Linked DNA regions of Drosophila melanogaster. The protein of the gene in region 3 interacts with the protein of the main gene of each other region in a pairwise test. Each region holds a gene or a part of one and is shown on either strand. Other genes may lie near its edges.

The links.
Region 1: the proteins of CG34296 (region 3) and CG6126 interact in a two-hybrid assay, tested with the Drosophila melanogaster proteins (one large-scale study listed by BioGRID).
Region 2: the proteins of CG34296 (region 3) and CG31522 interact in a two-hybrid assay, tested with the Drosophila melanogaster proteins (one large-scale study listed by BioGRID).
Region 4: the proteins of CG34296 (region 3) and CG9331 interact in a two-hybrid assay, tested with the Drosophila melanogaster proteins (one large-scale study listed by BioGRID).

What each region holds. Positions count from the first base shown.
Region 1 is NT_033777.3:16,195,868-16,205,584, forward strand, and holds CG6126 (uncharacterized protein), read right to left. Parts: upstream 7,217-9,717; 5' UTR 6,967-7,216; coding exon 6,924-6,966; intron 4,028-6,923; coding exon 3,393-4,027; intron 3,331-3,392; coding exon 2,341-3,330; 3' UTR 2,133-2,340; downstream 1-2,132. Other genes in the region: sra (sarah), read left to right, coding at 170-1,048; CG31287 (uncharacterized protein), read left to right, coding at 7,568-7,726, 7,781-8,083, 8,141-8,347; mtSSB (mitochondrial single stranded DNA-binding protein), read right to left, coding at 8,447-8,669, 9,027-9,135, 9,194-9,281, 9,349-9,369.
Region 2 is NT_033777.3:4,458,956-4,465,816, reverse strand, and holds the start of CG31522 (uncharacterized protein), read left to right. Parts: upstream 1-2,933; 5' UTR 2,934-3,190; exon of another isoform or gene 3,191-3,197; intron 3,198-6,861.
Region 3 is NT_033777.3:29,719,979-29,725,106, forward strand, and holds CG34296 (uncharacterized protein), read left to right. Parts: upstream 1-2,559; 5' UTR 2,560-2,580; coding exon 2,581-2,629; intron 2,630-2,685; coding exon 2,686-2,912; 3' UTR 2,913-3,035; downstream 3,036-5,128. Other genes in the region: CG15506 (uncharacterized protein), read left to right, coding at 1,179-1,454, 1,665-2,267; Pcd (pterin-4a-carbinolamine dehydratase), read left to right, coding at 3,251-3,378, 3,460-3,610, 3,869-4,168; Naa40 (N(alpha)-acetyltransferase 40), read right to left, coding at 4,224-4,461, 4,518-4,888.
Region 4 is NT_033779.5:20,820,885-20,829,433, reverse strand, and holds CG9331 (uncharacterized protein), read right to left. Parts: upstream 5,793-8,549; 5' UTR 5,319-5,792; intron 5,001-5,318; exon of another isoform or gene 4,710-5,000; intron 4,163-4,709; 5' UTR 4,014-4,162; coding exon 3,922-4,013; exon of another isoform or gene 3,859-3,921; coding exon of another isoform or gene 3,767-3,858; coding exon 3,347-3,766; intron 2,802-3,346; coding exon 2,464-2,801; intron 2,403-2,463; coding exon 2,277-2,402; intron 1,938-2,276; coding exon 1,819-1,937; 3' UTR 1,710-1,818; downstream 1-1,709.

The DNA.
Region 1 (9,717 bases), about 14 Mb from region 3:
TTGACCCCAATAATTAGTTGTTTAACAACATAAAAAGGGTTTATGCTTCGTAAATAATAAATGGATGGTTAACAGAAGTATATTTCTTGGCTGCTATTCGCCATATTCGATAAAAACGTTTTATTGTAAACATTATTTAAAGTAGCTTTCATTTCCTTTTCAGCCAGCCATGTCCGACGCGGCCAAGTCCAACAACAATGCGTCCGCCGATGCACCTGATCCGACCACTCCTGACGCCACTGGCGAAGCTGACGCGGCCAATGCAGCCACTCCGACAACTCCGCGTGGCAATCACAACAACAACAACAGCGCCAACGGCAGAAGCAAGAACAAACTGAAGTCGACACAGAACAGCAGTGGAGGCGGCAGCATAGACAAGCTGTCGCCGGACCAGGACATTTTCATCAACGCCGCCGACGGCCTGCCCAATCAGCATCCGTCGCTCCCAAAGGAGGGAGACGTGGATAGCGACACAGAGCCGGAGGTGGATGCAGACTCGTTCGACGACCTACCCACCTCAATCATCGTGACCAACATCCACTCCGAGGTGTTTGCCAATCCAGAGCTGAAGCACGCCATGGAGGAGTTATTCCGCACATTCAGCGAATCGGCTACGTTCCAGTGGCTGCGCAGCTTCCGTCGCCTGCGTGTTAACTATGACAATGCCATTGCGGCGGCAAATGCGCGAATCAAGCTGCACCAGTACGAGTTTAACAAGAAGACGGTTATCACCTGCTACTTTGCCCAGCCGGTGACACCGGTCAGCAACAAGAACCTGCAGCCACCGGCGCCGGTCAAACAGTTCCTCATCTCCCCGCCCGCTTCGCCGCCAGCCGGCTGGGAGCCGCGCGAGGAAGGCGAGCCACTGGTCAACCATGATCTTTTGGCCGCGTTGGCTAGCCTCACACCCGGCGAGTCGCACGAGCTGCATCCTCAGAGCGAGGACCAGCCGGCCATTATTGTGCACACGGCCATGCTGGCGGAGACCGGGCCGGGACTGCAGGTGAAGGCGCCAATTGTCCAGACCAAGTGCCCGGAACGGGCATAATCATAAGGTGGTGACGAAACTAAAGCTGAAAACCTGAGTTGTAAAACCAAACGATCGGGACAACGGGTTGGGACTCATGCTCTGCGGATGGTTGGGGCTTCGATTGAGTATTTTTTGTAAATATTTTCCGATTCAATTGTGATTAATTTACACATACATATATTTAGCTACGTTCGTATGTTTGTATTAATAGGCACTCGAACTCCCATACCCGACATACTTTCCCACCCTTCCTTCAAGCGTAGCATTTACCCCAGTTGGCTTCTGATACAAGTTCATTGGCTAACAACCGCATCTAGATGTGTTTATCTCGCGATTTGAGTGTGTCTATGTGTAAGAATATTGATGTTAAGCCATCGCAAATACCTGCTAACAATATCTACATATATCTCTGTGTACCTTCGACGGGAAATCGCTGACAGAGGCGCTACCGAGAACCGCGATCCGAAATCCCAGATATAAAGCTACTATATCTATGTAAATGTTAATGTAATTCTAAGCCAGCGAAATCGTGTAACGATATCGCATCAGATATCGGCATACACATACATACGTTTATAAATCTATATGCCTACGTGTAGTTAAAATTTAAATTGAAAATATATTCAAATTCGAAATGAATGTTCTCAAATGTACCAAACAAAACAAAATGAAGAATTACCAAACAAGAAACAAAAACCGAAAAACCAAAACTCTCTCTTTAAACAAACTTTAATTGGCGGGTTAAACATCATGTGGAGCAAAGGGAAGCGATGGGTTATGGATTTGACATTGGAAATCCCTGTCGGCAATTGGCAATTCGATAGTGCAATTGAGTGGAAATTACTGAAACTTTGCAAGGCCAGACGAACCCGAATTGGCTGTGTCGGTCGGAGAATAAACTTTAATTGGAAATAGTTGGGAAATAATTTTTTGGTGTGTACTGGTTTTACCGTAGAGAAAATTGAAATTCAAGCTATGAATCTGCGCCTAAATTGATAGAGCCTAAAAGTAGACAACACTAATCAGTAAAAATGCTCGTCAAGCATTTAAATTTCCTTTAAACTAAATTTTACCACCGAAAAAATTAAAAGAAAAAATCCGTACAAACAACAAAGGGACACTCAGAAATGAGTGAATCCACAAATTAGGATTCCCCATATTCTGCACATCGTTTTATTCGCTTGGAATGAATAGAAACTATTAAATCTTACTACTAGGCAGAAGAGTAGAATTCTTAACAAGAAAACACAGGGTAACAAGGAATTTAAGCTGGATTTTGGACTTGGGAAACAATCGTCTTTGGCTAGGTTCTACTTGCTCTCGATGTTCTTGAGCGGCACCATTTGCTCCGGATCGTCGGGATATACGCTATTCTGGCGCTTTTTGCGACCAGCACACTGACTGAACCAAGTATCTCCCTTTCCGAAGTTCTCTCCATCCTCAATGGACTCGGGCATGGGCTGGTTCATTGTCTCCGGCAGGAACATAACCCAGAAGCCCGAGATCAGGGCCACCACGCCGAACAGCACGGCCGGTATCTTCGGATCAAATGAGTCCAGCAATGTAATGAGCGGAGTAAGGGCTCCCGACAAACGGGCACACATCGATCCCAATCCCATGGCCGAGTTCCGCACCACGGTGGGAAACAGTTCGGCTGAGTAATTGTAGATTACGGCAAAGGAACCGGCGATGAGGAGCTTTCCTGCCATTACCACCGCCGTGGAGGTGGTGCTGCCCTGGGCAATGTAGGCGGCCACAATGCAGCATAGACCGCCACCCAACATCAGGGTGGAGGTGATCGATCGACGACCCAGGCGATCTAGGACGAACACAATGGTTATGTAGCTGGGGAACTCCACGAGGCCCATGATGAACAGGATCAGGTAGGGATTTCCATACAGCTTGCCGGCACTGAGCGATAGTCCGTAATAAACCAGAGAATTGGCGAACCAGCAGAGGCACACGTTCAAAGTCTTCATCCTCAAGTTGGGCGTGCGGAAGAGGTCGCTCAATCCGGCGCTGGATTTTTCTTCGGCCGCCGCCTGCTGTTTGGCTTTCTGCACATAGTACTCCTTGTCCACCGGGATGCCCGATCCGTTGATTCTCAGGCCCTTGGCCACAATATCCACCGCCTCGGCGGCACGTCCCTGCATCCACAGCCAGCGCGGAGATTCATCGAGCCACCACCAGTGGCCCAGGAACAGACAGCCATGCAGTCCGTAGATCACTTGGAGCCACTGGCGGTCAGGGATGAGTGCTCCCCATCCGGCCACCAACATGATGCCACCAGCGAAAACAGCCTAAAAGTATTGCATGGTATAGCCAGTTTAAAAAATGCAAAATCTATTGAAGTCTTCCTCACCTGGAAGGTAATGCCGCACACAGTACGCTTGGTAGGTCCCACCAGTTCCATGGTCAGCACGAACCCACAGATGTAGGCACCCGCTGATCCCACAATGCCCAGCAGGTAGCGAGCCACCATGAATGAGAAGTACTCGGGAATGAAGGCCACACCCACACCGATGATCAATTGGAACAGGGCCGACCAGCAGAACACGGTTTTCCGACCCACTTTGTCGGCGAGTCCGCCAAGGGTGACTGCGCCTGTGAACACGCCCAGCATGAACACGGTCTGCACAATGGCTCCCATCCAGCGGCGATCGCACACAAAGTTCCAGTCGATGGTGCGCGAAGTCTTGTAGTACGTCGTGTCGTATACGTAACGTTCGCAATTGATGGTGGTATTGGTGCCAGGACTACTGGGATCGAACATGAGGCAGGACTCTAGCTCGCCATTGGGCTTCAGCGGAATGGCGGCCAGGATAGCGCTCGAGTTCCATGGTGTCACCGACAAGCTGCTGTTATCCACGCCCTCGATGAAGCAGCGATGCTCAGGCACGGCGGCCACCGTGACCAGCGATAGCATGTGCATGCCAGCGGTCAGGCCGGAGAGCACCTGCAGGAAGAACTGCAGGAACTGGTACTTTCCAAACTCCCCTGCAATTGGATAGAAAAAAATAGAAAGACATTTCACAATCATTAATGTCTTGGGAAAGGTTATGAGCGCACAACAAATGTGAGCTTTCAGCAACATGATAGATAGTGATAATCTGTAGCACCCATGAATCACCCAGTTTACGATTAAATATAATAAAAAGAAAGTAAGTTGAGCTGAAAACGGAAGTTGTTCTAGCTCAAATTATTTAAAACGGTTTTTTATTTCAGTATTTGAATTTGAACATCACGTAGCTGCGATAAAAACACAACCCAAAGAAACAGCCGACTTTTATGTAGATGGGAACTTTTAATGGGTATCGCTGGAATTGTCGTCACTCCAAAGGCTTTGCAATTAAATCAAGTGGAATTTATTCAATTCGATTTCAATTGAAGCGCATTCGCCTAGCCCGTCAAATATTTGCCCACAGTTTGGTTTGGTTTGGTTTTGGTTTCGAACGCCATGAAAAGAGACTCGGATGTCTTGGGAGAATGCACTGAATCGATTATGACTTGGCTGGTCAGTCAGTCCATGGCGATCGCGTTGATGGGAGGCCAGGGGCTGTGTAAATTTCTAACGACATGGACAGTATGTAGCCTAGATACGAGAATTTGACACTTGATCACGGTCCAATGTTCAATCAGCCGTTTCAATTGATTTGTGGGTTACGTTTATTGATCGTTTAAACGAAACTCTTGCCATCAAATGAAAAGTTACGTTCACCCCGGTTACGTTGCAATCGACAAATCATGAGTAAAACGTCTGAGAATTTTCATTTTTCATTATTAAAACGATTGCGTGAAGTGTAAAATTATGTCATCGGGTTGACTTAATTAATCTCAATTATAAAATTTGACTCTACGCCTAATGAAATTCAATTACGCCCCCAATAGACATAATCAGCGTATAATTGAGCACAATCTAGGAAATCGATTGGCCAAATTTGTGATAACTAAACTCGTAATAGTAAATACTAATGTGGAACTCATAGCGGATTATCAGAGGCCACCAAATGCTAGATCATATATCAGTGATATTGTTGCTTCAGATTTATTGCATCCGTCCAATATAACTAGCCGTATAATTGTTGCCAAGTGGCCCTTGAATACGACATTTGTTTTTGGCCCTGTCAATGTTTGTTGTTCTCTTAATCGTAAGCCATCTATTATGATGTACAAAACCAACAGTTTGCACATTAAAATGAATATGGCGCAGGTTTGGACCGTTGTTTATTCTGGGCAAACTTTTTGAGCGATAAGTGAGATGGATAAGAACACGGAATATTAAAAAATAATGCAGTCATATTTCTAACAATATTGCACATGTATATTAATCTACTGTTATTCTACTATCAACTGTTGCTTTATTTCAGAGTTGATTTCTTCAAAGCTTTTAAAATTTCCTTTGTGCTTAAGTATCATGATTCGAATAATTGAGGTAGATCATGGTTTTACACCTCCACTTTAAGGCTTCCTTCGGTTTTTGTTCATCCGTACTTCAACATTTTCACTTCCCGCGTTTACTAACAACTGAAGGTCGATTTAGTTCTGTTCTGTGCTCTCCACATAGCACGTGTGGAAGTGCTCTCAAAGTCATTTTAAGTTGCTGGTTTTATGGTAACCTTCTTACGTACAAATAACAACCAACTCAGCAATGCAACACGCCTCCAAATTCGAAGTAATTAGAGTTGCTGCTCGCCAATAGGCCTTCAACAAAGTAAACAGAAATAAAAGAGCGATATGTGAATTTTGATGGCTGAGGGAGGTATTGCCATATAGTTGAATGTGAGCAAACCAGTTTAAGGTTTTTTGCATTTCACAGATACAAATGTATGCGAATATATTACGAATAAAAAAGTCGCTAATGCGATTATTACTCCCTCTCTCCTGTCACTTTCTTATAGGCTGCGGTTTTGCGAATGCTTAATACAAAACCAGTTTCGGATTGTAAAAAACTGTTCTATTTTAATTAACGACAATTTCAGCACAATCGTTGACACAAATTTTATATTCCAACTCATATTTTATGTGACTCATAAATTTCTAATTTGTAGCCGTGACAAATAAAACTGTTTATCCATCGATCTTCCACTGTATTCCCACAATTAATCTTAACTATTTTGCATACTGCATATAAACACGCTTAATTTTGTAGCTTCCACAAGCTAGCTGCAATGTTTGAACCGCACAATTAGAGTATATAATAAATTATAAGCAAATACCCAGATATCCGTAGATCCCAAGATCTTTATGACGAGCCTACTTCACAGTCTTGTGACAGATACCGCCCCTTTTGCACCCGTTTTATTTTTGTTTGCCTGTTAGCCGCCACACTCGTTTTAGCGTCACTGTGCTAAAGCCAAGTAGGCTCAACAAGTGTCAGACAGCCTCCAGCTCAGAACTTGGCCCACACGAACATGTGTCGACTATATGTGTACATAAATACATACTTGGTATGGTATATAGTCAAAAGGGGAGCAACAGGTCGGAGTCTCTATCAAGCTGTCATAAATGTCTGTCACTTGGTGGCCTCGACGATTTATTAAATTAAGAATAGTGCAAAATGAAAATGAAAATAGTTGCAATTAAAAAAGTATTATAGTCGGCTTCTTTTGAGCACTTGACGTGACGGACAGCCAGCCGGATAGATTAGGCGGAGATTAAAAGCATAATACGGAAAAATTAATTATAGATTTTAAAAGCAGAACAGAAGGTTGGGCGGTAAACCTCATTGGTCGTCGTGAAACAAAATATTATCCATAGTAGCTTGCAACGCTGATAAGACCTCTCAAAATGATAAGCATAACGCCAGGCTCTTATCAGCACGGGATGGAGACGCCTGGCAACGTAACAGCTGACCTTTCAAAAGTCTTCGCTCCCAAAAGCCCATTCCACTCACCAAGTTTCCCCATCAGGTCCTCCAGTACATAATCCACAGCCATGTTTGATTTTTTATTGATAATCAAAAATAAATGAAAGTAACTGTTTGCTATTGCTTCTTAACAAATCGTCATCTTCTGCAGAAGTGGAGCATGTATGAATGGCACACCAGTGCAGCACTGCTGATAGTTACGGGTCGCGAAGATGCAAAACGAATCCGGGATAAACAACGTGCTCGAGTGAAACAAAATCGCAAACGGAGCGCTCGATCAGCTATCAACTCTTCCGACCGCCGGCAGCATTTGAACTGGCAAAAACTAACTGCGAACTGTGTCGCTCAGCGAGAAAACTGAGTGGTAAATGGCGATAAGGTCGCTCCAAGCTCGCGAGCGAAGAGAGCTTGTGGAGGTCTCCAAAGTTGGGAACTAAAGAGCAAACTCTGCTCGAGGGTAAGAGCTTCAAAAACTGTAATCACCATTATAATCCTTGATGTATGAAAATAAATGATGCCTCTTGGCAAGGATCCCTTAGATTAGAATACGATCAGAAAACTCATACCTTAGCAAGCTTTGATTTGCCTAACACTCAGTGACAAACAAAACATAAGTCACAAAAACACATACAAAAAATACATAAAATTCATTTAAAGTTAATTTTAAAATTATGTGTGAGCCAAACTTATCAGATCCGTCGACATTCCTGTACTTGGATATGCTGGCGGATATTTTAATGCAGGACAGCCTTGAAATGGAATCAGATTTCAATACCAAGTTAAAATTTCTTAAGGAACAGGAACAAATTTGCCTAGACAATGCCAAAAATGTGAGACTCAATGGCCATAGGCAAACAGGATATAAATTTTTCATACTCCAACAGGCACTTCCCATCGATGATACCCTGAGATCAGTAAAGTGCACCATGCTTAGGGTAGAAATGGAGCTGCATGAAAACGAGATTAACCTTATACAGGCGGAGAAAGCAGTTACGAAATTGGAGCAGAGCTATCCGAGTCCTGAGAGTCTGGCAGGCCAAGTGTTTCCTTTGGCAAGTACCACATATCAGGATTTGCTGAGTATGCTGATGTCTTCGAAAAAAACAGTCGATCATTGCAATCAGATCAAAGAGGAGGTCGCGACGTATAATGAGCAGATATCCGCAAAAGTACCTTCCGTAAATTTGGTATGAAATGATGACTAAAAGTTGTATTTAGAGTTTCTAAAGTGAGTGTATCAACAGGTAACCAAGCTTATCGATTACCACAATAATACACTGGAGTCTATGGAAAAAAATATCGAAAAATTGAAGAGCCAGGTCACACAAGTTCAAAAGGAGTTCGAGCAGCTTTATAACGAACATGCACGCCAATTCAACGCACCGTTCCCATGCAAAAAGGTCAAGGAGTTAAAACCAAAAGACACATGTGGAGTACGACTACGCATGTAATCTGATAACACAATATATCCAACGAATATTATAAATGCTTACAATGCTGCAAGTTCAACTTTTCGCTTAAGATTAGGTTTGGTGATCTGGGCTTAAATTTTAGTTGTTGGCATCACGGAAAAACAACACATCGTCGGCTATGATACTGGTGCTAGTCTTCTGGTTGCCCTGCTGGTCGGTGATCTCTCCATAGGTGATCTTTCCCTGCACCATGGTTCGCTGTCCCTTCTTCAAGTATTCCAGCACGGTGTCACGCAGATTGGGCTTGAACACCACTACACGATGCCAGTCGGTGCGTTGGGCCCAGTCGCCGTTCTCATATCTGTGGGGAAATATTTAAGACTTCATGAATGCTTTTTAAATGAAATGGTAGCTATTTTCTTTATGAAATCCGGCATTTCATGGATCCTAAGAAGAAATTGATCACTGAAGTTAATTGAACAAGGAAATGTACACTATTGCCGTTATCATTAGGTAATTACATACAGCAAATGTTCTAATAACTCATTACATAAATCTGAATTAGCAGCTCAACGTGATATTTTCTTGGAGGTTAAGGCTAAGAACTAACTTAATTGTCAACATTTATGTAGCTTTTTTATTTCCCTCCTCTGAGATGTGATTTCAAGTTCAGTTGCAGACGCATGCTGGGCGGCAAAACGCACACAAATGCACTTACTTGTAGTTGGTGTGTGTAGCAACCGAAAAGGTGACCACCGGATGCTCCTGGGATCCACGCAGCTGCGGATCGGCGCCAACTCGTCCCAAAATGGTCACCGTGTTGACAGCTGTGGTTATTTATTCAAAATTAATTCAATTTCATAACTAAACCTAAGAAATACTCACTTTTTTCAACTTTGGCGGGAGCCGCTGCCGTTGTTGTTGTTGCCCCGCGTGCCGGCAAATTTCGCAGGCCGGTCAACAGAGGATTCAGCTAAAAAAAATAACATGTTTGTTCATTGTATTTTGCAATTTACCGGCTTTTTAATAATATTACTTACCATGCGCCTTGTGTGTTGCATCTTGATTGTATTAATAAAATATCGATGTATCGATGATATTTACGATATGTAAACTTTTATCGCGATAGTTTTTAATACGAAATATCGCATATCAACATTATTTCTTATTTTATATATTGACTTGAAATGCTACTCGCAAGTATATAAAAAAAATGTTTTTTTATTATTATTTATTAATTTTGGTGTATAAATCCGCTTTTGGAGATTGAATTCGCCACACGGAGTGAATTCGCCGCATATTGTCCCTTGCGGAATACAAAAGAAACTATCTAGTTCAATCATAGGCCAAAAGAGGACGTTAGCGGTCAGCTGTGTATAGTTCAAAATAACAGCCAAAGGTGGCGATGA
Region 2 (6,861 bases), about 25 Mb from region 3:
AAGAAAGAGTGACAAAGATCATGGAGATAAAGCTTTTATACTGTAAGTGCAAACCGGCTTAAGGACGAAGACAATCAGTTTATTAGTTGGTTGCCGACCAATGTAAATGAATCTTAACAAAAGTTTTCAACTATTTTCGCATTGCATTGAACCTCTTTTTGGTGTGGCTCATATATATTACTTTATTACTACCTATTCAATATCCGCTTGTTTCCATTTTTGGTTTGAAGTTGTTAAACGGTTTTTCAGCGCAGTGAGAAGTATTGGTGACAAATTATTTGTAAGTGTAATTCTGTCTGTTAATCCGTGCGTATGGTTTCGTTGTTAGATTATGTGGCTTAAGCTGACAAGTTCAAAAACTATAGAAAACCTAAATAAAGCTTTTTAATTTATATTAAAACTGTTCAAGAAAATATTTCAATTGTATTAACGCATATTTTGTACGTGTGTATAACTTTCATGACGGGATTGAATCCCTGGGGCCAGTGTACAGTGTAATTGTTAATAAACGAACACATTAAGTGTATTCCCACTTATAACTGATAATTAGAGGCTTTAGAGCCTCTGAGGGTGTGGCAATTGACCCATGTGGCCTATCCCCTAATGAGATTGGACATTGTTTCAGAGAAATACAAGGCATCTTGCCAGCCACGAAAATCTAGAAATAATAAAGGCTTTAAAATAATGCCTTTACTATCAGATGCCTGTTGCTTACTTAACAAAATTTCCGAGAATGGGTCAAGTGTAATATTTTATTTACAAGTCACATATTAATTTACAAATTCTACCGAATTAATATTGCATACACCAGGCCTAACACCTGATGTGCCTTTTGAACTTTTAATAAAAAAGAACTCTTGAAATAATCGCATTAGGAATTACGCTGAGCATGAATCAAATTTCACATTTCCCACTTTATACGACCAAGTAGTGAACCAAATCATAAATATTTTATGAATTACATGAATATTCCAAATAAAACTATATTATATTTATTAAACCAATAACACTATATTATAGGATATATTTAGTGTCTCCCTCCACAAGAAAAGTCCTTTGAACTACGTCGTTGCTAAGTTTTAACTTTAATTTAAGAACTCCTTGCGACGTTTATAACTTAAACCGCAACGAGAAAGGAAGTTAGCCTTGCACCTGTAGCTTATTTGCGTCTGCAGTACTATGACGTCATTTTCAGAATTAAAGGGTATATATGTAGATTCGTTGAAAAGAAAGAAATTTAAAGCGGTTATGGTAGTCCGATCTTAGCGTAAAAGATCAAGCGATTACATACCAAGACTTTGAGAAAAGTAAAAAAAAATTTGGCTGAGCCCCACTACCAAACATATGTTAAAATTAAATTGGAACCTTTTGGGCGTCTTGTTCGTCCCTTAAAAAGCATTTTTTGAAATACTTTACCTAAGCCCATAATTTGTGCTACATGTCATTAAAAACGCGTTTGCAAATGATTATTTGCTTTTCACAATTGTTTTGTCTCAAACAACAGATTAAAATGTAATACCCATTACCCGTAGAGTCAAAGGGTAGACTATAGGTAGGCAGTTTATGTTCTTTTCTGACTCGATAAAGAACATATTACTTCATCAGGACCAATAGACCGTATAAACGTCAAGATCTCTCTTGTTTTTTTTTTTACGATGATCGTTGAACGCTCGGCTGTGCAAAAGTGCAGAAACGTACCAAACAATCGAAAAAATCAAATAACAATACAGATTGCCACTGACTTAATGTACAAATGGGCCAGTACTTAATAGACGCGTACTAATTTTTGGCAAACAAATCCGCTAACAGGCGGCGACAGCTGGGCTGTACAGGCTAATATTTAAGCCCCTCTTGACCTTGTCGGCTCTCGACTCTTGCCGCATCAGCCGGACAGGGCGCGATGTTAGCCAAGTTGACATAACTTAATGCATCATAATGCACCGGCGTATTTGGAGCTGGAGCTGCGACGGAGACTATCGGCACTTCAGGCTAGTGTTAGCGTTAGATAATAATAACTATTTCCCAGCTCACTTTGGCACGCGCCCTTTGATGCGTTGTGACCAAACACTGAACCCTGACCAATTATCAATTGTATTATTACTACCAAGTATCCGAATTTCGTTTACAAGGAATGAACTTTGGAGAATTAAAAAAACTGTTGGAAAAAAACTATTAATTCAGGCAAAAGCTGCGAGTAACGACCGCTATAAAAATAAAACCCCTATTTTCTTAAATACTATCGATTTGGAACATATAATTGTAGGATAATTAGACAATAAATCTTAAGTCACCCCATATTTTGCGAAAACTCTTTCATCATGTTCCAAGCAATTCTTAATTGTTGGTCATACGGTTGGCCCAAAGTTTCGAATAAGGCCGTATATCTGTGCGTATCCATGATTATAAGCCAGATCACCTACACGGGCAGGAATCGTACGCCTCGTAATTAACATGGATGATTTAACGCTGTGAAAGGCCAGGTATCGGGGCTGTTCGGAAGTTCACTCCATGTAATATTTACTCGCTGGCAGTGTGCGATTGCTATTGCGACGGTAGCCACACTTGAACCTTGCCTGCGCCGCTGACATCAGACAAAAAAAAACAAGGTTCGGGTTCAGATTTGGGTCTTGGGTTCGGGATCTCCGGATCTGAATCGAGTCGCATCATTCCCGGTGTCCGGGAATAGCCAAGAGCCAATCAGGCCATTTGCCATCTTCGTGCACTGCACTTGACGCTCGGCGGCGGAAAGTTTTCGCACTGCACTCGGTCGGTGCTTGCCGCTGACCGTAACGTTTCCACCGCAGCCGCTGCGCTGCCAGTGGCGTTCTTCCCTGCGCTGGCGCTCGCGGTTGCGCCTGCGCCTCCGCTTCGTCGGCGTCGCGCGATCCGCGTTTAATTAGCCGCGCGGCGCGATCGCGGCTCAGTTTTCATTCAGAAGTCAAGCGCGCGCTAATCGCAGACGCAGTCACCGATCCCGTGTGCGAAAGCCGAAAGCCAAGAGCCAAAAGCTATTGCGAAAGTAATCATTTTACAAAGTTCTTTGGCAACACTTTGTGAAATAGTTCGGGCCGCGCAATTTGTGTGTTGTGGTTTTTGCAGTTTTTAGTTTTCAGATTTCGGTTGCCAGCGATTTACCAACCGAGCTGCTGCTGGCCGCCTTCCGTTGCGGATTTCGAGCTGTTTGCAAGTGGTAAGCTGTAAGTTGTTCGCACATGTGATTTTTGTTTTTCGCTCTTTTGCAACTGCGCGGCGCTTGGTCCGTTCACAATAAGCATTTTGGACGGCGCTCTCCACGCCAAAACACCTCCCCGCTCTGGCCAATCTGCCCGGCTATAAGGCGCAGATCGTCCGAGCTAATCGATTTGACTGGCCAATCGGGCTGTTCGATCCGGTGTTTCCAATGGTGTGGCAACCCTGCCATTTGGCGGTTGCACAAAATCAGCTTGCGTGGGGCATTTGATTCCCAGCGAGGATCCGATGCTGAGGACCTCTGGAGAATCCTCGACGTGTGGTCGCAGGCGGGATTCCGGCGGGATTTAGCCCTGGCCTGACTGGCAGCGCAGCGGCAGACCACGAACAGCTGGGCGGATTTGTATGCTGTTTGAGCAGCTGTTCTGGTTTCTGGACTGTTGACTCCCAATATACCGATAGGTTTTGTTTTGCTGACCCCTCGAGATAATGCATAAGAATTAGCCAGCATCGTAAAGCTTTTCACCGTTGACATTGGGTCCAAAGTAGCAGAAGCGCAATTAGTGCGCCCTTCGCGAATAATTGCCAGAGTTTTTCTTGCACTAAAAATATACAAAATGGTAATCCAAGGCAACTCGAAACAAGTGCGGAAACGATTCGCACAAAACCGGATCTGCAATGACCCGATTTTGGCCTTGGACTTGTCGCAGGGCATCCTGATCGTGGCAAAAAGTTTCCTTGAGTGTTTCCCAGTCAGGCGAGGTGGTCGAACGAAAACCGCTTCTGGGACCGACTTTCGAGGTCTTGTGACTTACTGATCGATAATGGGATAATGGTAGTGAATGGCTCCAGATCGACGATCGCTTCCGCGTTGGCTGTAATTGGACATCATAAATTGAACCGCCCAGAAGGGCTTGCTCATTGTTCTTACCCGGACTGGAGCCACTCAGGCGCTCCTCGGCGGATGCCACTAAGGTGGCAAATACTTTCAAACAGTAAGCTGGGATTTCGCTTTCCGTATTTACATATGCAAACCATTTGGGTTTTTTTCGCGCTCACCGTTCTTCAAATGCCACGCACGTAGCCGCGTTTCCAGCGAATTTACAGGCTACACGCCAATCCCCTGAGATCGCAGATCCGAGATCTGAGGCCCGACTCTCAAGAAGCCTCAAGAAGCCTCAGCCAAAACTTACCCAAACATTAAATCGCTCAACGCTCGCCGGCGTGGCCGCAGCTCTGGCTCACACCGCTTACTCTCTACTTATAAATAATTTAAACACAAAAGTTTGTTTGTCTAGAAGAGGATCTCGCTTCCACATCGAATAGCGCAATGGGGCGTGCTAACAACTGCGATTTGCGGAAGCCAAGTGTTAGGAAAAGAGCCGTAAACGTTTACATTTACGTGAAAGTATACCTTTATATGTATACTATTGTTTGCTATTATGTTTGCTATTGAATGCATTACAAACGGTTTAAATGTATTGATAAATACAAAATAGAAGGGCATACACTTTTGTCTGACTCCCATTATATATATATATATATGCATATGCATATATATGCATATATATACTTCTACCGACCATAAAAGCCACTAACCGATAGATAGGCCGCCGCTTGAATACCAAAATGTCTTGGGCAGTTTTCGAATATTTTAAACAATTACTACATTACAGTTAAGCGCCAATAACAATACCCGTACAATTCCTGGATTAAAGCAAGATTTCGTATCTTAATCTGGTAGCAATCCAGTTTGTACAATACGAACATTTTGTATATAAACTTTATAAAAAACACCTCCAAATATGTGGGATTAAAGTGACGATGACACTTCTCAAGTCCTAAAATGGCAATTAGTTAAACTTTTTTTTAACAAATTTTGCAGACAAACACATTTTGGAAAATGTCATTCAAATCTTGTTTTATAAATACAAGAATTATAACTAGAATTGCTCCCCCTTCTTCCTAGCTAATCATCATTCAACAAGAGATTTAAATCATCAAAAGATTATTCGATCACGATATACATAAATGGCTCTGATCAGACTCTCGGTTCTCATCGTCACTACGTAAACTGCCATCCACAGCGATGTTAGGGGACTTTACTTGGGATAAGCACACGTACCTACTTATAATGTCAATTGGAAGACAGCGTTTTGCAGTGACTAATGAAAACAATTAACAGAATTTCGTCCGCCTATGTCTGCGACGTGTACGGCATTAAAAATATTCCAGAAGCAACAACACTATCAGCCACATCTCCGCACTTTAGACAGAAGATACTCACAACTTGTTCATGACACTAAAACAAGTTGAGACATCACCTAGCTTGCACTTCGGTTTGCATTACCTTAGTTCTGCTTTGAGTTTCAACTTCCCCGATTTGATTCGACAAACTGGAGTAACTAGCGTAACTAGACTTACTCTACTCTAACTAGAGTTTACAACAGCAGTCTTTGAAACCCCGGGAAATTAGTTAAATAGCTTGTCAGTAAATTGACTTAATTAGTGAGCCGAAGCGCGAACAGCAAAACGAAAAGGAGCTGCAATATGCCCAATAAGACTAACATTTAGAAGAACACCACAAATTGATCGTTATAAGAAACTTCCGTTTCAGAAATATAAGTCCAATACCATGGTTAAGTATTCCTTATGGTTTTCGAGACTAGGGTACATTCCTTATAAATTCCTAATTAATTATTATACACAATACTTGTAGGGTAGACCTGAACTTGAAATGTATTTGATAGAAAGCATATCTTCGACGCTTTATTTTCTTTTTGTTTCCGGAATTCTATTATGTTTTGATAATTTCTAAGGTAGCCGAAGACAATTTAAAAATGTATCCTTCGCAATCCTCCGTATATATGTACATATGTATGTGTATTCGAACAAAGACTAGGCAGTCGAACTAGCCAAGTTCATCTGGACTTCCTTTAGCTGGGTAATAGGTATCTGATAGTCAGGAACTCGATGAAAGTGATTACTCTTGTTTTTATAAAATGCTGAAAGCATTGTTTGTTTGGCCAAATTGTGGGAAATAAATATCAGCCAATATGGTTTAATAGAAACAAGTTAGTTAACACACTTCGTGTAAATGCAATTCAAGCAAGATCAATAGAAAATGTTTAGAATGTGCTTACACCTCGTTACACTTAGCAAACAGGTTGGGAACTTAATGCTAGAATTGATTGAAATCGATTGATTTCAGGCTTTCCGTAGCTACCTTAGTAGAGTCAACAGCTTTTCACATGGTAATTATTTCCGCGTGGAATTGCAGTCGCGTTGCATGCAAATAATTCGGAATGAATTAATTAGGCGAAATTCAAGTTGTCCCGGAAGCAAACAGGCAATAGGGCGGAAAAGGCCGATCCAGCGAGTAGCATTGAGATCGGGCTTTGCCTTGACATGGCGAAAATATGAGTGATCAGACCTGCCCAAATTACTGACTAATATGTCCAAAACAAAAGGCAATTGTACTCGGATACGACGCATTTGCGCTGCTCGTTTTAATGAACATTTTTCGCGCCAGCGCGGTTACTTTACTCGCAATAAATCTGTCAACAAAGCACTGACTTCTCACTCGAGGATTTTGACATTGAAGATGAAGACGCCGACGCCAAAGGCGATGGCGTTGAAGACCCCGCCAAGCGGCGCCGATTGAGCTGTCGA
Region 3 (5,128 bases):
CACCGATTATTGTCTGCTGATTCGAGCCGAATCCATTTAATTTCACTGCTGCCAGATGCCCACGAGATCGAAAACGAAAACGAAATCGAAACTAGAAACTAGAAAATAAAAGGAAAAGGAAAAGCGTCGAAAATTGCTCCCTCGAAGCGAGTGAAAAGATCACGGCCATTGGGAGTGGGAGTGGGTGAGATGTGGAGGAAAGTCAAAGTGAAATGCTTGGAAAGCAAACCAAATTGCCAGTCAGTCACTTAGTCAGTCAGTCAGTCTCTTGGACCACAAACTCACAAACAACAATAGCAATAGGCGATCCAAGGAGGAGGGCGGCCCAGCCACACCCGACTTGGATGTCTGGGTAATCCAATAGCGGCAATTAGAGTGCCGCCCCCGGGGATCCGGAGATCGGGGGATCGAGATCAGAAACGCGGTCACAGTTCCGCAGATCGCCCCAGTGCATTTCCATGCTCCAGTACCAGCTGCAGTGCCATTACCATCAAACCTCCTCCATGGGCAACTCGTCTAACCGGACCTAGACTCCATCTCTCCGAGGAAATGCCTTTGCCATAGCTCCACTTGAACCCATGCACTGGCAAAAGAATTGGTTCTCAATAGAAGATGGAATGTAGAAATGAAGTATGCCTTAACCTTTTCAAGTGAACGATGTACACGTTCTGAATAGACTTTTTTCGCTCAGTGTAAGAGGTAGCAGCGCCGTCCGGTTCGATCGGCTACTCCGTAATCCAATTAAAGGAACAATCTACATTTCAATTCAAAACTAATGAAGTGTAGAGAATTCGCAACAAAGGCTGACATGTGTTGATTGTTTCGACGACTGCAGTGCTGGTATTTGAAAGTCGTGGGTTTCTTCTGACTCCATATAGTCCATACAGACACGTAATACCTGGCTTTTTAAAGCCATTACTAACAAGCTTCCCTGTAGAGCACCCAGAGTTCCAGCTGCACAACTTCCGTCCAGCACAAGCACACATTGTGCGTAGTCCAAACAATTCATTGATTGATTGTCGATATGGCGATCAATTAGACAGATTATGGTTTTCATTGATCGCCATCCAGCAGCAGTAGTGACAAACCCAGGGACAGCTGTCAATGGTCACTTGTATCTACTTCTATATGCACAATATATAAACGCCGACTTCGATTTCGATTTCTATTCTCGGCAGCACACCATTTTGATTCTCCTACTGCTACTGGGACTTGTTCTGTGGACCGATTCCTCGCTGGCCGCCCGTCGCCTGAGGAAGAAGCCCAAGGTCTACAACGCTCTCATCACCACCGACGACAACCTGACCTCCAGCCGCGCCTATCCGGTCATCCAGCCCACCATTCACGAGCCGGGCTACGCCCCCTTTGGACCCTACAATCCCTACGGATTCTACAGTCCGCCGATTGTGAGATTCGGCCAACCGATTGTCCCGGGATTGACGCCAAATGAGAGGGTGAGCTTATGGGTTTCATTAAGTTGCTAACACTGATAAACTTAGCGAAATATTTCGCAAGATTAAATTACTGCTAGCTATAATAAGACAATGATTAATTTAATAATAGGTATCATAAAAAGCTCACTCTAGAAATCTCTGACTAGAGCAATGAACCGCACTCAAAAAAGAAATATAGTAGTTTAAACTATTGAAACCTTAATATTACAGCTCCCTTACCCTCTGCCATCTGCCGCCCAGTATCCCGCTGGCTATGCTCCATATGAACCCCAACAACCGGTGGAGGCGCCAGTGGAGCAGCAGCCGCAGTCGGCGTCGCCACCCGGAACCGTGGAGCGCCAGGAGATGCCCAAGGAGCAGATGCCAGTGCCGTTGAATCAGCAGGGATTGCCGCCCGTGCTGATACCACTGCCCTCCCAGTTCAGAGGCCAACCCATGCACCTGCCACCGTATCCTTACAGCCAGTATCCAGTGATCTATGACCAAGCGGGCTTCATAAGGCAGAACTACTTGCCGCCGTACGACTACTATCCCAGCCAGGGTTATCCCCTGCGGGCAGCCACTTTGCCGCGCGCGGAGCAGGAACAGCCACTGAATCCCGTCCAGAGTCCACCTTCGCCACAGCCACTTCCCCTGGAGAATCTGGAGCCGGCGCAGCCCAGTTTCGAGGACATTCGCAACGGTTCGGAGAGCAAAAACAGCGCGGTGCCGGATGTTCCACCTCCGCCAATACCCTCCGGACCCAAGCGTCCACGGCCCGCGGAACCGGAACCGGAACCGGAAGCGGAACGCAAACCGGAAACGGACAACTGATTGCGGGCTGACCAAAATTCCACACACGTATTTATTACCATTTCGCTTAGGCATAATATCGATTCGATTGTACAATGTCGCCTTAACCCGTAAGCTAAAGTAAGAGTTCATTCAGAGATAACGAATAAAAAACATAAAATCGCACTGGCGGTGATTGAACTTGGATGGATGTTCCCCAGTTCCCCAGGGAAACCAGGGGACGATTTCGCTTTCGTCGGGGAATTGGGAGCCGTTTATCTCAGCTCTGATGGGACTATAAAGGCAGTCGAGTTGCCGGGAAAAGTTACAGTTAACATCGAAAGGGGAACTCAGAATGAAGCTGGCCCTGCTCCTGATCCTCTGCTGTTGCCTCATCGGAATGGGTGAGCTACAACTTTGGTCTTTGGATACCCAATGAATAACAATATCCAATATGCAGCGATTGGTGACTCGGTTTTGGTGACCAAGCCGCCGTTCATTCGCAGTCGCTATAGCTTGCGTTGGAGGAAGACAACCACTGTGGCGCCTGAAGTGGTCACTGGATCCAGTGGATCAACCGTTAACACGGTCACCACCACCGACCATCCCAAGCTGGCCACTTCCACCGCCAGTTCGGATTACGACTATTACGGAAATGGGGAGACGGAGAATGTGGTGCACAAGTAATAGTCATATTCCAGCCATATGACTATATATTAACACTTGATATAATCAGAGCGACTTTAATGTCATAACAATGTAAGAGAAGGCCATTTAATAAATAAACTGTATGTCAAATCTCTAGAAATCAATAAGAAATCCAATAAGAAATCTAAATTCAAATTACGCGGCATTAGACTTTATAACAGTTATGTTGCTAGCAGACGTTGTCAAAACAAGTTGGCAGTTTTTACAGCTCCATGTTAACTCAATGTTAGCTAACATACGACACAAGTCAGCTGTTCCGCGCCGACAGCAACAGCAACAAAAACAGCAGCTAAGAACAAACGAGTTTTGGATCGAAAATGTTGTTAACAATTAAATGCGCTCAGAATGTGATTAAGCCGAACTGCCAGAAAGTGGCCAATCTGCTTGCCAGCAGCCGCAGAGCTGGTTTATTCCCCACAACTGCAACAACAGCAACGAGTAGAAGGTATTCAAAAGGTGGAATGTGCGGAAGGGGAGGGAGGGGCAAAAATACCAAACTTAAATCTGAGCTTTATTTTTCGCGCAGCCTGTCGCAAATCTCAGTTCTGTATTCGCCAGCAGCGAGAGAAGCAGCACGGGCAGCAACTGGTGGCAGTGCGAATCTCCGGAGAATCCACAACACCCCAACCACAGAAGCAACAGCAACCGCAATCACAGCGAAAAAGCGCAAAATGGTGGTAAGTACGAGCCGAAAGTGAGTTTGAGATCAAGGTGAACGGAGTCTCAGCGAAATCGAGTGGTTCCCTTATCGCCTCCAACTGAAATCAATCGACCACCCAAGGACAGGTTTGGACTTTCGGAAAGTGCTTTATGCCCTAACAAATAGAATCACTGTGATTTTGGCCAGAAATGGAGGTTTTTCGCTCACAAATTATTTTGTATATATATCGTATGAATCAATAACACTCACATACTTGTTGCTCGCTGCCCTTTAGGTACGACTAAACGAACAGGAACGCGCCGAGAAGCTGCAGCCCCTCCTGGACGCCGGCTGGACTTTGGTGGAGGGGCGCGACGCCATCTTCAAGCAGTTCGTGCTGAAGGACTTCAACCAGGCCTTCAGCTTCATGACGGGCGTGGCATTGCTGGCCGAGAAGATCAACCACCATCCCGAGTGGTTCAACTGCTACAACAAGGTGGACGTGACCCTGTCCACGCACGACGTGGGCGGTCTCAGTTCGCAGGACATTCGCATGGCCACGCACTTGGAGACCACGGCCAATTTGTTGAAATAAACGCATTGTTATACTAGTTGCTAAATATCTATAATCTTCGGTGTCCAATAAATACTCAGCTTAGCATCGATTTGCTAAAGATTTGGTAGTCGGCTTGTTCCAGGACATCTGGCGAGATCTCGTCCTTGACGTAGCCCAGTTGCTTGAAGAAGGAAATGGAGGCTTCGTTGTTGTTGAGAACGGTCAGCATGACCTTTTCCAGATGCCACAGGCGAGCGCAGTCCTCCAAAGTGCTCATGATGAACTTTCCCAGGCCTTTTCTACGATACTCTGCAGCCACTTGCATTTCGTAACTGAAAGGAAGTTCTACGTAATTAATGCATAAGGGCTTTACTTATGGAATACCCACCAATACAGGACACAGTCCCCGTGATCCATGTCGAAGCGGAACATTGCGTAGGCCACGTTCTCCTTCTTTTCGTTCTGGGCCACCAAGTAGCGAGCCCAGTTCTTGTTCAGCTCGGCGGCTTTGATCTTGGGCTGCCAGCCCATCTTGAGTTGCTTGTAATAGGGTCCCACGTTCGTCTCGGCCAGCTTAAAGGCCCATTTCAGCAGTTTGGAGTCCGCATCCGACTTCGCTCGGCAGATGAGTTTGAATTCCTCTCCGCTGGGGGCTTTGTAGCTTTGGTAGCTCAGAGATTCGAGGGGATTCTTGGCCCTGGCAGCCGTCTCCACAAATCTCTGTTTGGCGCCCTGACTTAGATCGTCCTGATTCCGCATTGTTTGCTTAAAATTTTGTAAAAATGGCAATTCGACTAAAAATATGCCGCGCAAATTAGGGATGGCACACAGTGGTAAACAAACTATTATTGCTTATATAGAGACTGCTATCGATTACACAGATTAACTTTAATTGGTATTTTTGAAATAATAATTACTGGCCACTTCATTATTTACCACTGTTTTGTAAACAATTGCAGAAAATTTATTGAATTCCATTTTACGGCTTATATACGGGTT
Region 4 (8,549 bases), on a different chromosome or scaffold from region 3:
AAAAGTTTACAATTATAAAATTGATTATTTATATATAGCTTTATATAATTAAAGTCATTATTTATTTACGTTTCTATGAGCGATTTTCATACATATTTCGTAGTAATCAGTCAAACTATACCATTAGATTAGATTTCCACATTAATTAATCAATTTGCATCAGGAAAATGTTTTTTTACTCTATTTCACATTTACTGGGATGCGGCTAAACCCATTTAAATGTAATAGTAGGTGGGCAACTAGGTACATGGGATCCCCAGCCAAGCCACGAATCACATTATAGGTAGTAATGGTGCCACAATATGCGGCAGGACAACTGAAAGTTATGCAAAAATAACGATCTTTAAATAAATCAACTAAAAAGGTGACATTAAAGATCAACATTTACGCAGAAACATGATAAAACTAAACAGCAAAAACGTTAACCTACTCATTTGTAACCTTCAAGAAACCTTAATGAAATCTTGCCAAAATACTTTTAGACACTGTCTGTCAACCACTAAAGAGATAAGACAAAAATCTTTATACTGATAAGGGGCCAGAAGTACGAGTATTTGTTAGGTGGGGGCCCTAAAAGCAACTAGGACTGATATCAATAGCCTACAGGAACTATAAAAAGCTGTAATCTTTAGATTAGGCATACAGATTACGTCTACGCTGCAAAAGATTGTTTCAAATCGTTGCCACGCCCACAACTGTTACATACATATTTTTGAAAAATTAAAAATGCTTTATGTCCTGAGATCGAGTTGTTCGAAAGGACAGACATATACTTGTATGCAATGAAAACGTTTTCTTCTTCCCGTTACTTATTTTTGAAAGAAGTATACCGTTTACTTTTGGAGTAACAGGTATACTGATTAATCGTTCAATTTAATATACTACTACATCCTTTACTGTACAACATGGTGTACATCCTCTTGGATCACTTGTGGAAACGACGACTCGAACCCACTGCCAAATCGACCACGTCGTTGTTGACAGGGGACTTTGCACCTCTTGACTTCCGGCACATCGGCGTAGTCAGCTGGGGGCAGTATTCATTTAGAGCCACTGCCTTATGGGGCTACTGTCCTGCTCAGTCGCCGGTCTGCTTTCTTGCTGGTTGCAGCAGTTGCAGTTGCAGTTCTCTTTCTGCAGATAAATGCCCACATAGTAATCCCTGGGATTCGCCCCCAGCACCTTGAAACCAACGGGCCATGCCCAGGGGCCTTCAATTATTATATTCGATCAGCAAAGCCATAATCAGTGGGAGCAGGTTGAAAAACTACAACCGAAGTCGGGTTTCGCGAGCGAACTCTCAAGCGGCATAAGCACCCAGTTTTAAGAAGCGATGATCCTATTCCGATCCTGATCCGACAAGCTCCCGCAGCCGTTCCTGGGACTTTTGGATGCGAAATCAGCAGTTTGAAGGTCCTCGATACATTTTGGGGAAAAGTGGTAGGTTTTGCAATTGTGCAGAGCTAAACTTTGCGAATTACTAAATCAATGTTTTCTGCTCTCATTTCTTAAAACGTACAATATTATTTCCTACGATATACTATATTAGTATTTAAATTATGTTTCTCATTCTCTAGCACCAATTATTCTATTGCTTTACCTATTCCATATTAATCAGTTGAGCTAATCTTACGGTATAGATTAGATTCCCACATATTTAATTTAATAAATTTGCAACAGCAAATACTTGTTTTTTAATTGTTTTTTTTATTTTCACATCTACTGGCATGCCAAGGTCATCGGCGGCCTTTCGCACTTTGTTTGGCGGACATTCCAAACTGGTTAGCGGTAGAAAGCCATATTTCCCATTTGAATTTACTAGTAGGCGGGCGACAACATGGGCTCCCCAGCCAAACCGCGGAGCACATTATGGGCAGCAATGGTGGACATGTCGGCACGGGTGCGCTTCGTGGCGGATCCAATATGGGGCAGGACAACTAAAAGAACACATCAAGTGGTTAGTTCAAGATACGATTACACAAACCAAGATAACAATGTTTTAATAAATCAACAAAAGAAGGGAATTATAGAGGTCAACAAGGACGCAGAAATTAGATAAAACATGGAAAGAATAAACGTTACCCTATTTATTTGTAACCTTCAAGAAACCTTAAAGATTCCATTAATTTCAAAATACTTTTAGTCATTGTCAACCACTGAAGAGATAAGTCAAAATCTTTATATTGATAAGGGGCCAGAAATACGAGTATTTGCTAGGTGTGGGCCTGAGGACTGATATCAATAAACTACAACATTATTTTCATTTTCCCACTCACCAACATTGTCAAGCGTCAGCAGCTTGTCCTTGGGCGACAATGGTTCCGGATCCGTGACGTCGAGTCCGGCGGAAAAGATTCGGTTGGCTTTCAAAGCCTCGTAGAGGTCATCCTGGTTGACGATTTCTGAGGAATAAAATAAATAGTTAAAATCGGTCGAGAATCCCAATTAATACTGGTAACTTACTGCCCCTGGCAATGTTAACCAGCACAGCAGTCTGCTTCATCTTGTTGAAGGCGGTGGCATTAAAGACGCCCTGTGTGTCCTTCGTCAAAGGAGAAGCGATCACTACGAAGTCACTCTCGGCCAGAAGGGTATCGAAGTCAACTTTCTTGGCATTGAACTCCTCCTCGATCTCCTTGTGAACACGACGACGGGTGGTGTACAGCACCTTGTCAATGTCGAATCCAGACAAACGCTTGGCAATAGCCTGACCAATGCCTCCAAAGCCGTAGAATCCCACGGTGGAATCACGAATATCCTGGCCCAACAGCCAGTTAAGATGGTAGTTTTCCCACTTGTCACTTTTAGAACGCAAAAGATACAAATTAAGAAATTGAAAGATATATGAATATTTCCAAAATATATAATATACTTGTAGATACTCGAGATACTGATAAATGCCTGTTACTAAGCTAAGATGAAGATAAAAAAAACTTTTTTTTATTGCACCGCCACCTAGCGGCGGTTACATAAACTGCTCGTACCTTTTGTTTGTAGATAAATCGAAAGTCAATACTTTAGAATTTTACATTATGCATGTGAGGAGCCAAAACCTATTGATGATAATGCTTTGTCCACTTGTGAGCGCTATAGAGCAAAAGTGCAAGCGACAGACGAGCGGACAGGCGGTATTCTTAAGAACCGGCTTGCAATTTTAATCGAGAATTCATGCGTATACATTTCACGGCCACACTAAGTTGAAAATAAAGTGTCCCTAGTTTAGCTTAATTATAATAATAATTATGACAATTATAATTTCGGTTTACTCTATTTTTGTCATTGCTCAAATTAATTCTGTAAGTATATGAATCATCACAAACACAACTAACCAACTAGTGGTACTCACTTGTCGATGGTCTTGCGACCCTCGTGAAAACGGCGACTGGCGGCGATCAGGAGACCCACTGCCAAATCGGCCACGGCGGTGTTGAGAACGGTGGGCGTGTGTCCCAGCGGGATCTTACGTCTCTTTACCTCCGGCACATCGACGTAGTCGATTCCCGCCGACATGGTGGAGATGGATTTCAGCTGGGGACCGGCAGCATCGAGGGCCTCGGCATTGAGGGGTTCGTGTCCACCCCAGAGAACGCCATCCACGCCACGGATTTTCTCCAGCAGCTCCGCCCGGTTGATGGGAACACTCTGCACCTGGACGATCTCGCAGTTCTCCTTCAGCAGATCAATGCCCTCCTGGGGAACCTCGGGATGTGTCACCAGGACCTTGAAAGCCTTGCCAGCGGACATGGTGCGATTCTGGCTTTGATTTCTGCTGCCCCTGCGTGGGAGGGAGGCATTACTACCGGCGATCAGCAAGGCCACAATCAGTGGCAGCAGGGAGTTGGTGGCAATCGATCTCATCTCGAAGTATTGCGATCGAAGTCGTGTTTCGCGAGCGACTGAACTCTCAAGCGGCATACGCACCCAGCTTTAAGGAGCGGCGAGAACGGAAAGCCGCTGATCCGACTGCTCCGACCCACGATCGCAGCCGATAAACCAATGAACCTGTTTAGCATTATAATCCGCGCTCTAAATCTCTCCCTATATATGTATGTACGTATGTATGTATGTCTGTAGGCGTTCAAGCCGCCGAGCAGCTGATGTGAGTCTCAGTCTCTCCTACGGCGTATGTATAAGACGCACAACTGGTTTGCTGGTTCGAGAACTAAGGTATAATATTGGAGTTTTATCGAAGTGGATTCAATAATCAGGAACGGTGCAAGATTATTTCTGGGTTAATAACAATAACATTTGGCAAAAATAAACATTCTAAAATTAAGTTTAATTTTACTTAACATGTGGAGCGTAATGAAAAAATTACGAAACATAGATGAATTTATCAAAGACTAAGAGCCAATTATTTTGGCTAAAAAACAGAGACAATTATTTCAGTGGAAATACGATTATATACTGCGGTCAATAATTTCGAGTAGCTAAAATACATCTATCTCCCATGTTTTTTAAAGTACTTAAATTTCGCGGTTATACGGTCGCTATCTCCGCACAGACGCACGAGATTTTTATGGCGAAATTCCGCGAGCAAAAACTTTCAGATATGTTCGCATCTAATCATTTTTCCACGACTCATTCCACTCAACACTTTTGACAATTTGATGGTTTTTTAGCATTGTTTGTTTGTTTGTGGGAGGGAATGGAAAAACCCACAGTAATATTTTGATATTAATTACACTCAATGTCACCAAAGAACAAACCGTCACTCTTAAAAACTCTCTTAACCAAACTGTTTACGACACCAAATGTCACAAGAGAACTACTTTATTATATTATTATTAATTTGTTCTTTACACTATGCTACACTCTGCCTCCAAACGCACCCGACGTGAAAATTTAACTAAAACTTTTTTCCATTGGCTATGCAATAAAAGCTCGCAATCCGATTTCATTTTTATGTTCTCTTATTTAGACTTTATACTTTCTCTTACCGTGAGATCTATAGAACTAGAATACTTTTCAGCTTTGCGTTTGCCGCACGACTGAAGTATTGGCCCCAAAGCTTAAGCCTTATATAGAACTCATATCGTATCGCAAATGAATTATCAATTCCCAAAAAAGAGTTAATACGAGAGTAATTTTCAACATATTAATTCGGTTTACATTTTATGGAATGGTGCACAGATATTTTTGAAGTCAATTGTATAAATTCGTTAAAATAAAATAACATATATGAAATATTTAAAACAATATGCGATCTAACAAACTTTTATTATCGTAAAAATACACCCCTTAAAGGCCGGAAACTCACTAAAATCTCAGTTAAAAATGTAGTTCACTCTTTAACATAATATTGGGGTTATATCAACCAGATTCCAGTACTATCAGCGATCAGCGATTCCCCCTCCGATTAGACCATCATTGGGCATCCCTTTCTGTCGTTGCACACTGCGCTTTGCCGCTACCATCAGTCCGTCCCTTTCCAGCTGCTTATCTCGAAAGGCTCCTTATCGGTGCGAACGAGACAGAGACGGAACTCTTTGGGAGAGTGAGCAGTTGGGAAAGCTGTGCGCCTGCTCGAAATACCAGTTGGGGACTTTTCCCATGTGCTCGCATGCAATTTCCAACTGGAATGGGCACCACCGCAGTTGGAGCCACCGGAGCAGTGGAGCCATTTGGCCATTTAGCCGTGGTGCCATGGAGCCAAAGCACTGCAGTCGGTTGGAACGTGGAACCTACACGACCAGCACTATTTCGCAGTTAAGTACGTTTTTTTGTGAGCGGATCTGCTCAAATTTTGTCCGCAGAACAGCAGGCGCACAGCGTTGGCCAACGCACACTGCGCTTTTTCGTCTGTGTGAAAGCGGCGGCAAGAACCGTTCGCGTTGGCGTTAGCGTCGCTGGCAGTGATGCGCGAATTAACTAGCTAGAACTTCCGACAAAAGGCACAGAAACTTAAAACAAAATACTAAATTACTTTACGTCTACGTGTAAGGAGTAATCAAATATTTTACTGGTTAGAACTGAATATATTCATAGACATGATAATACATATACATATTTATAAGATATTCCAAATGTTAAAAACAATAAAATTATTGATATTGTTACTATACGAAAATTGACTAATCTAAATTTTACTGATTTACGATTTAAGTATAGAACTATTTTAACATAGTTTTAACCATAATACCGCTCTAGTGAAATATCGAAACGGACAGTTTGGCTTTTTGTTTGCCTAGATTGGCTTCACTGAAAGTTGTGCACTTCCTCTTACCTTTGAGATTTGGCCCAGACACTGCACTCTGCCTAATTGAAAGCGAAACGAAAAACCAACAAAATATTAGCGCTTTGTGCGAGGGTGGATTTTTTTGTTGTCGTGACGCGGCGCAGCGTCTGTGCCTGCTTTTTCTTCGTCCCCCACAACGGTTTACACATTTTCTTCGTGCCTTGTTCTTTTGTTTCGCGGCCATTGTGCAGCAGAGTGCCGCACATTGGTGCTCTTCTCGCTTTTATGCTTTCCTGTTACCAAAACACGATGCGTCATTTTGACTGACGTAACCGGAGACAACATTCCAATTGGAGACAGCTGTCTATCAGACGCGACCGTCGTCGTCGTTACGTCTGCTGCCGCCGGCATTGCCAGCGCTAAACTGCGGTTTGGTGAACAAGTAATCAGCAACTGATGACAGCAGACAGACGCCAACGAGAGTGTGTGCGGCGGACAGAGAAGAGAAAATGCGGAGAGATAGAGATAGTGGAGGCGGACAGTGAAAGACGGGGTATAACGGAAAAAATGGAATTTGAGAAGCGCATCTCTCGATCTCTCCACTGAACATATGAAAATACAATGTACATATGTACATATGTATGTAAATAATATTTATAAGTTGGGATATTAGAAAGCCTAACACTAGGTCTTCGTTTTAGGCTAATAAATTACTACAGTTTCGATATAATCGGAAACTGAAAATGAAAACGTTTACTTAGTTCAGTTCCCAACTAAGAACAAAGTGGGCATACTTTTAGGCACTTCTAAGCACTATTCCTGATAATGCTTAATGCAATAAAAGTTAATGTGTCACCAAAAATACACATTGTAGTACTTGTTCACATTTCTTAAAAAGTAATTTACAAACATTTTAACTTAGAACTTAGAACCTTGCTAATTGCATTCACAAGGTAAGATTGGGATTGCCTTCGCACAGCACTCAGCGGGTTAAAGTCAACTGTCAAGGGCAAGTTGCAGACACCTAAGCAGCATCCACAAACATATCCGTACTGCTTGCGCCGCATTCTGCTTGCTTCATATTTGGCGACACCAGCAGCGGGAATCGCAAATGGCGGCCGAGCGACAAAGCTGCAAAGCGAGGCGTCGCGCACTCCGCGCAGGCGCTTTTGGAGCGCCCAACTCCACTCAACGGCCTGTCGAGAAGGCCAAGATGAAAAAAAAGTGGGACGTGCCGGGCCACAAAAAAAGTGGCCAACCGTCACCGATTTTTATGGTGTAGGCTCCCTAAAATTGACGCGCAACATTGAGGCAGGTCCCTCTACGCGATATAACGGAACAGGCGCCCAGAGTCGCCAGCAGCGAGATAACCCGACGGAAGACAAAAAGCGAGAGCGAGCTGTGTCTGTGTGTCTGCGCGTGTGGTGGTGGGCCCCAAGTCGATGGCGGTGCCTACACACGGCACAGCTCTATGAATATAACGAGCACGAGAGCGGGAGCGGGAGTGAGCTCCACCACGAGCTCTAGAAGAGAGAGAGACAAGTAGAGTTGGTGAGCGTGGGAGTTGATGTGCACTTGCATATGTGCAAGTACAGTGCGTCCTCTGTAACAGTAAGCACTAAACTGAAAAGAGACTAGCAAACTAGTAAAGTACCACTGTAGTCATTCCCCAGATTTCAGTTGCTCATGGAAGTGTGTACTTGTGTATATACATATATACCAACATACTTAGGTAGCTAATCCAGCTCTGTTGGCTTTGTAATGATGTTAACATTGACTGACGTCAGGCACGGGTCTTAATTTACATGTCTCTGCTGCTTGGTTTTTGTGTTGCAGCAGTCCCCGTTGCTTACCACACATGATAATTATGGGAATGCAAGTGTTTTGTTTTCGCTGCACTTGCTTGCGGTTAAGAATTGGGAACACGTCCAGGGTCACTGCAGAGGGGTGGGGGGGGGTGGGGTGTTAAATTGACCCATGCTCGCGGCATATGTACATACATATGTATGTTTCTTAAGCTCAAACAAAAAACCTGTTTTTGCGTTGGGCACCTTTTTATTCGATTTGGTGGAAGTCTAGACCATATTGTGTTTCAATGTTTATATTTTACTATGGGGCTTCGCACTCAATCTTGATTATTCTTATTTCACTGAAGAAAGTATTGTCCACAATTTTGATGTACGCTACACACGATAGTTGTGATGCTAGGTATTTCTGGTATTTAAAAATGTAATGCAGAGCACTGCATAGTTTGTCGGTCAAAAGCGTGCAATGAGTAGATTTGATTGCATTCCTGATAAAATACAATGTAATGTTAGTCCGTATTGGATCTATAACTTTTACCAAATGCTATATAAGGCCGGAACAATAA